Linked DNA regions of Xenopus tropicalis. The protein of the gene in region 1 purifies or fractionates together with the protein of each later gene. This does not show direct contact. Links are inferred from orthologs where the notes say so. Each region holds a gene or a part of one and is shown on either strand. Other genes may lie near its edges.

Region 1 (3,205 bases):
CCATTTTATTACTAGCAATAATGTAGTTTGCTCATGGCCTGCTGCTTAATTGTATCTTCTTTGAATTATATGTATATATGCCATTGCTCATAACTTTGTTAGCACATAGCTGTATCATACTGATAGCTTGTCCGCTTATAAGCTCCTCTGTGTTCTGCCTACAAAACCCCTCACAGCTGCCATTCTTCTTATTATTTATCTATTCTTATTATTAGTGATTGTGTCTGACTCTCCCTTGTCTGTTCACAGATGCCCCAAGGAAAGAAGTTTATTTCATGGCTATTATTGACATATTAACACACTATGATGCAAAAAAGAAAGCAGCTCATGCAGCGAAAACAGTTAAACATGGTGTAAGTATATGATTCCCCATCTGGTGGTGGAAACTAAAATAAGTATATAATGGGGCAGGGCCATAGGCTGGGTAAAGGGTAGTGGGCAGTAGATTCCAGGTGGGGTTTCCTTCCATGCTGCATGAGGGGGCAGATTGCATGGCCAGTCTATAGTCTCAAGACCAGAAGTCATGCAGAAACCCAGGTGAGTAGGAAAATGAAGTTGGGGAACATATAAAAAATGCAGTGCTGCGTCTTCATCCAGTTTGAGCTTTTTTGCTATTTATTACATGAAGAAAGGTGGGAGGTGAGGCCTCCTAGCTGTGACCCCCAGGTGCTTTTGTTCTATTTGCTTGTGTTGCTTATGGCTGCCAAGGTTTTTATTTATTTAATATGATGTAGCAATTGCTTTTCTGAGATAATTTGCAGTTGGTCTTCATTTGTTGCGGTTTGTTTGCAGTTTCTGAATTGTATAGGTTTTTGTTCTGCAGCTCTAAAGTTTGAAATTTCAGCAGCTGATGATTGCTATGGCCCAATTTAACCTAGCAAGTGGTTTGAAAGAGAAGACAGAGTTATGAATAGACCAGGGTCTAAATAAAGAAGATAAATAATAATATGTAACAATAACAAGAAAATTGTAGCCTCACAGAGGTATAGTTTTTTGACTGCTGGGGTCAGTGACCCCCATTAAGAAGCTGGAAAGAGTCAGAAGAGGAAGGCAAAAAAATTCAAAAACTATGAAAAAATTAAAACCAATTGAAAAGTTGCAAAGAACAGAACTTTGTATAACATACTAAAAACAAGTGTATCTGCTGTCTGGCTATTATGAGTGCTGATAACATATTGTATTTCCCTGGGGCAGGCAGTTTGATTGTGGGCATTATATAAGCACTAGCCCCATAATTTCCAGGCCATACTTTTAGGTTACATTGGGGGTAGGCTTGTCTGCTTGTTTGGGCGCGAAAATCCTAAAATCAACCAGTGTGCCAGTGCCCTAAAAATTCAAAGCACCATCTTTTTATTACATCTTGGCAGGCAGCTACAGCAAACTGCACGGTCTGATCCCATAACAGTCACCAATCCAGCCTTTTATTTTAGCATTACTGACATTTTCCTACTTGCTATTAGTGCTAGGTCTTAGTGCCAGGGAAGCTGTAATTGACAGTTGGGCATTATGTTGCTGCTCAGCCAGATGTGACAGTCAGCCATTTTACGTTGCTCTTGGAGGACTATGCAATTTGGCATGTGTAATTGCGCTCATACTATGCTGACCCACCCTCGTATAAAAGGCAATGGGAATCCTTTATCCCCCAGAGCTGCCACATTGGTGCCAGGCTGATACTTGGGTGCAAGTAACAATGCCACTGTGTTAACTCTATTTTCTCTCTCTTTCCCTTCTACAGGCTGGTGCAGAAATTTCCACCGTTAACCCGGAGCAGTATTCTAAGCGTTTCTTGGACTTTATTAATAATATTCTGACGTAGCCTCACCTGCCGGCAATGGAAGCTCATAGAAGAGAGGACAGCTATGGATACAGCATGGATAGAGAGGCCAACAGAACTTGCTGTTACTTAATGCTTCCCCTGCGGGGATCACTCCTCCGCCCCTTGTAATATGACATCTTCTGGCAAAGATGGTACGCCTAGGGATCACAGACTTCGCTGCCTGGCATAGCCCTAGATTTTTTTTTTTCCTTTCTAACTCTTTTGTGTCTCAATAAAGAAGGAAAGCTTTGACAGCTATGCGGAAATAATGCACAGATACTATTGCCAGCAAAAAAAATGGAGAGCAGAGTGGTGGGGTCAGACGAAGCAGCCTGCATGCTTTCTCTGCCCTTCTGGCTGGAAAAGGATTGAAGCGACGTCAAGACGTAAACTGTAGATCAGTTTATTTTTATTTTATTATTTGGTTTTTTTTTTTAACTTAGAGGGGCAAGGCAGTATTCATGAAAATCACCTGAGAAGCGCTATGTTTTTATTTTTGCAAACCGTTGCTGTCAGCGGGACATAGGCAGTATGTATCATATGACGCTGTTCATTGCAGGACTCGGGATGCTGACAAGGATCATGGACAAGAGTCACAGTCCCCCAGCGCTCAATGCTCTTTGAGTGCCAAAGAAGTAACATGTTGCCCCGGCTTTGGCACCCAAAAAGGCTCCAGTTTATATCTGCACCTTGGAATCAATGATGCCATAATATTTCTGCCTCTATGTCATGTTCTTGTCTGCCACAAAAAAATCTGCACTTCACTATGACTCGGATAACTTTTTGTCTTAAACAGGTTGCCGTACAGTGTAGTTTATCAACACAGGAAAGAGCTCTGCTCGCTGACTTACACAGTTGTGGGCAATATTTTAGTAATGATTGGTTTAATTGCTTTGCAGCATCCAAAGCCGGGTTTCCAGCCTGTTTCACTTTCCAGTGTCCAGTCCTTGGCCCTAAACGTGCTGTCAAACTGCAGCTCCCTTTATCTGCCCTTGTGAGTCGCTGGGATTTGTCCTTAGTCTGTAGTTAATAGTGTTGCTCCATCTTATGGGCACTGTCACACAGGGCGCTTCATTGTCTGGTGGGAAATCTCCTCTCATGCGGATGATAAAGTGCCTGACATTACCTGCCTGTTCTCATGACTTATAAATGATTCAAGTAAAATACGTTACATATGTCGATCCTCAGTAATCACTTAACAAGGCCGCCTTTTGCATTTTTGGGTGATTAACAAGAATCACCACACGTAATGTGTTTTACATGTGGTGATTTCAAGTAATGTAAATGGGTAGGTATTAATGGGCGCTTCATGGACTTCAGGGCAGGGCCCAAAAGGTAATGGAAAACAAAGCTTTGTTGACCATGGAAAATCACGTTCCCCCTTGGGCA
Region 2 (4,348 bases), on another chromosome or scaffold:
CTTCTAGTTGGGGCCTGAACTGCCCTTGCTATCTAGATTTAACTACCTCACTCTCCTAGAGAGTGCTATTACAGTTTCTGCTATTCTTTCTAGTCCTCATTCACAGGGCCCTATGCCCAACTTCACCAGAGTGCATGTTGACCCTGGGGCAAATGGCTTTGCTTCACTGGGGCCTATTTCTGATCCCAGGCTAAGTGGAGCTGTTCCTGGAGAATCAGAAGGCAGCCAAAGAGGAAGCCACACCTCCTTGCTAGACACTATATCAGACTGCAAGGGGTGTGAACAGCCACATAGATCAATAAAGTATAAGGTATAACTGTAAACTGATACAAAGGGTTTGCCCAGTAACAGTGCAAATCAGGAAGAGGTAGGGAATTAAAGCCATAGGGGAGCTTAACCCTATGGGTCCCTACATAATTATAAACCAACATCCATTAAGAATATAAAGACTTAATCGTTTTAATACATGTTCGGTGATGCAAACCCATTAGGTTTATATTTTGGGTGCCTGATATTCAGGTGTGTTTTCAGGGGTGGGGCTTAACATTAAATCAGCCACAAAGTACAGGGAGGGGAATACTGGGCTGTTTTACTACCACTGAGGGGTGCAAAACAGGGAGAAAGATCCTTGTGAGTTAATATGAGTGCACATTTGTAAAACTGTCAAAATGAATAAATAATGTTATATTAAAATATTTTACATTTTTGCAAATAAATGCTCACCATGGAACCATGTCTACTTGTAATGCTGTGTGCGCACTGGAGATATATATAAATATATGTGTGTGTGTGTGTGTGTGTGTGTGTGTGTGTATATATATATATATATATATACATAGATAGATAGCTCCAGCGCATACAAAGCATTACAAGCAGACACAGTTATTACCAGCCCCCAATACTACTAACAAAGAAAACCGATACTCCCAGCAATTCATGTTTCTAGAACGTTACACCATATGCAGCGTTACACATGTTATTTGTCAATCACAGCCCTTCATCTACGTTGCAGGATGTCAGCATAAAAGCACCGAGCAGGTTGGCAACAGCTAAAGCTCAGACATTACTATTGCTGTGACACGTCAAACTTCACTTGTACTGTGTACATTTTTGGACATCCTCCCTCGCCCCCTCCCAAAAAAGAAAAAAAAAATCCAGTATCCCTTTCACTCGCAACCTATACTTAGTCTCCCTATCTCACGTATGTCTAATATCATATTAGGGAGACATAAAGACTACAACTCCCAGAAGTCTATGCACTAAACCGTATATATTCGCCAGTGGGCGCGGCTAAATAAAAGATTGACAATCTGATTACCGGCCCTTATATAGCGGTCGGGTGGTTTCAACAACCCACAGCGAGGCTTAGACCGCATGTCGATTGCTCCGCCTTCTGCGGTGTGGCTCCACCTCTCTTTTCTGTTTTTTAAGTCTTCCTCCGCGGCCGGCGCGTCACTATCTGTGAGGTCACGTGACTGAGACGTTTAGTCGGTTATACTACTTTTTATGCTAAGGCACTCTCCGGTATAAGAAGGCGGCGACAGTGTCTGGAAGCTGGGTTTGGGGGGCAACCTAAGGCTAATCTAGGTTAGGCCCCCGCCGTATTTATTAAGGGCAACCGGACAAACAAGGCCCGGAGGAGGGAGGCGAATCCGCCGTCAGTTCTCCCAGTCAATTGCTTACAGTCCTGAGTGCTTTGCTGCCGAAGAGTCCCCCGGGGGGGAGCTGCAGACATGTCATCTCCCAGCCCGGGAAAGAGGCGGATGGACACCGATGTAGTTAAACTGTATCCTTCCTGACGACAAATTATTGGGGTATAGGTTACATATACTATAAGTGGGTGCTTGACAGTCATTTGTCAGGTACACTCAGTATGTAACTCTGGGGCCCATGTTTTGGATGGATATGGAGCATTGAAATGGGGCAAAACAATGTTCACACTATTCTGCCCCTTCTAGATACATGTAAGTATCTTAATTGTGTAGTGCCATTACTGTGCTTATCCGTGTTCCTTGCCTAGAAGGTAGTAAAGGGGCATATCCTTGTATAAAGAGATCTTTGTACATCAGCTATTAACAGAAACATAAAATAAAGTGACTTACATAAGGAAAAGCATCCCTATATTTCTCTGAAACAAAGAATGCCACATATAGGCACAGTTGCTACTAAGATATACTGTCTTTGATGAGAATGATCTATTTTGATTAAATCCTTTGTTATTGATCTGTTGGCAGGCATGTCTTTCCTAACCCACAGGCCCTCCAGCTGTTCTTGAGCTGGTGGCAGTTGAAGCCTGTTGGGCTATATGAGTTTCAGCTGAAGGGCCACTGGTCAGCTGTGTTTTTTTTTTTTATATAATAAAATAATGATAAATGAATTAAGAAAAGGTGTATTGTATTTGTAACTCAGTAGTTCACATATAACTAAAGTATCATTGTGTAGTTTGTTTTGTACAACTCTAATAGGCCTGTAGGAATTTAGGTATATAGATACGTGTGTGTATTTTCAGTGTCAGTACAGTTAAGGCCTCACACAGGGAGGAGGGGGTGCAGACAAGGAGGATTTTGTTGTTTGTGTCTAGTTAGACAGGGAAAAGATGATGTTATTTTTCGTTTTGTTTTATTTGTGTAACAACAAATTACCAATTCCCCCCTGTCACTGGTCAAGGTTATTTACAACAGGAATGCTTAACCTGTTTAGTTAAATCCTAACTCCTAGCACCCACTGACAGCCTTAGGCTGTTTGGGGATTTTATGGTGATACTGGAATATGTAGTAGAATAACACAGGCTGTGGGATGCATTTTGGGCAAGCCTGTACTCAATAATCATTCTGTTTCTTTGCACCTATTGAGCTTTAACAAACAAGTGGGTTTTTCATTAGACTGCAAATAATTTTCATGGGGGCATTGTTCATGGAACATCTCTGTACTAAGTAAGAGCTTACGCAAGCATTTGTGTACCCCAGTCCTGTTTATGTGCCTAGTCAAAACAAAGGGATCTTTGCAATCTTTTTCTACTTGTCGTTTTTATTGTAAGAGAACAGACAAAAGACTGCAGTCTTAAAGGTTTCATGCTGCCTTATGCTTCCATAAATAGAGAATGGTAGGCACAGGCAGCCAGCAGCTTTTTAACATTTGCTACAATGGCCCTAATTGAAGTGAATGCCATGGTTTTTACCAGCATTTATTTGTTGCAGGACATTAAATACTTTGGTCTGAGCGCAGGTGACTTAAAGGCAGGGTAATGTATGTATTTTATAAAGTTGGGAACATCATCTGTTGTGTCTGTTTTAATCTGACAGGTTTTGTATAGCTGCATTAAAGGAACACCTACAATCCTGATCTCCTGATTGGAGATGTCAGGTCTGCATTGCAGGCCTTTAGCATACAAGGGGTTAACTGGCTAAAACCCTGGAGACAGATTTTTTTTTTTTACAGGAATACATTTCTTTCAGCCTATAAGTATTTAACAATTATTTAGATACAGTTAAAGTAACCCTCATGCTGACAATGTTATGTTGTGTGTTTTAGGTCCCATAACAATATATAGGTTAACAAGTAAAATGTATAAATGTCCTAGCAACTGATCGGACTGTTGGGTTCCAGTGGTATTAAGGGGGTTGTTAGGGGAAAGCCTTCATAGCACAGCTGAGCTCTTCTGTTTTTCTTCTCCTCCCTGTTTTTTGCGTTTGTTTTTGTCCCATAAGTTCCCTCCTAGCCCATGTAATTTCCTTGTGTAGGGTGGGACACTAGGGGATTTTGTTGTGTGGTTATGACATTAACGCTCAGACATGAGTAGTGAAAGGGAGTGTTGTTTGAGGGGTGGGTGGGAGCAGAGGGCAGGTTAATGGGCACCCCGCATCCACTCTGCTTCTTTGTTATTACTGTAACTAAAGTTTGGTAGGAATGTCAGAAAGCCCAATGCCTGTTCTGTAAACCCAGAGGCCCACAAAATCTAGAGGGCCACAAGTGGCACTGCATTTAAGTGTACCACTGAAACTATACTGGCAATCTGTGTAACAGGCCATTTATATAGGTGTACGCTTTTTTATTGCTCTCAGTTTGTCTTTATGTGTGGTTAAAAATATATTTTTCCTAGTACAAAACAATCTTGCATTTACCTTACGTTCACCCTGACCTTTTGCTTTCATCCTTTATTGGGCTGTCTTAGAGTTAACCAGCTCAATTATACATGTTTGAGAACTAATAATAAAAATGGGGGGTGGGGAATGTAACCTATTGTATACAATTCCAAAACAGCATATCAGTCATAACACTGTGTTTTGGTTTTTTTTTTGTGAGGCTAAGGCATTCTGCCAAAATAAATCATAGCTGTTCCTAGCCGTAT

The links.
Region 2: the proteins of pip4k2a (region 1) and ube2h purify together in Homo sapiens (affinity purification with mass spectrometry; 3 studies listed by BioGRID and IntAct, with this or other methods). This does not show direct contact. The link is inferred for Xenopus tropicalis from reciprocal best matches to the Homo sapiens genes PIP4K2A and UBE2H.

Annotation. Positions count from the first base shown.
Region 1 is NC_030682.2:26,688,946-26,692,150, forward strand, and holds the end of pip4k2a (phosphatidylinositol 5-phosphate 4-kinase type-2 alpha), read left to right. Parts: intron 1-249; coding exon 250-353; intron 354-1,735; coding exon 1,736-1,816; 3' UTR 1,817-2,580; downstream 2,581-3,205. UniProt on the Homo sapiens protein: Catalyzes the phosphorylation of phosphatidylinositol 5-phosphate (PtdIns5P) on the fourth hydroxyl of the myo-inositol ring, to form phosphatidylinositol 4,5-bisphosphate (PtdIns(4,5)P2). Has both ATP- and GTP-dependent kinase activities.
Region 2 is NC_030679.2:86,975,816-86,980,163, forward strand, and holds the start of ube2h (ubiquitin-conjugating enzyme E2 H), read left to right. Parts: upstream 1-1,487; 5' UTR 1,488-1,733; coding exon 1,734-1,786; intron 1,787-4,348. UniProt on the Homo sapiens protein: Accepts ubiquitin from the E1 complex and catalyzes its covalent attachment to other proteins. E2 ubiquitin conjugating enzyme that transfers ubiquitin to MAEA, a core component of the CTLH E3 ubiquitin-protein ligase complex.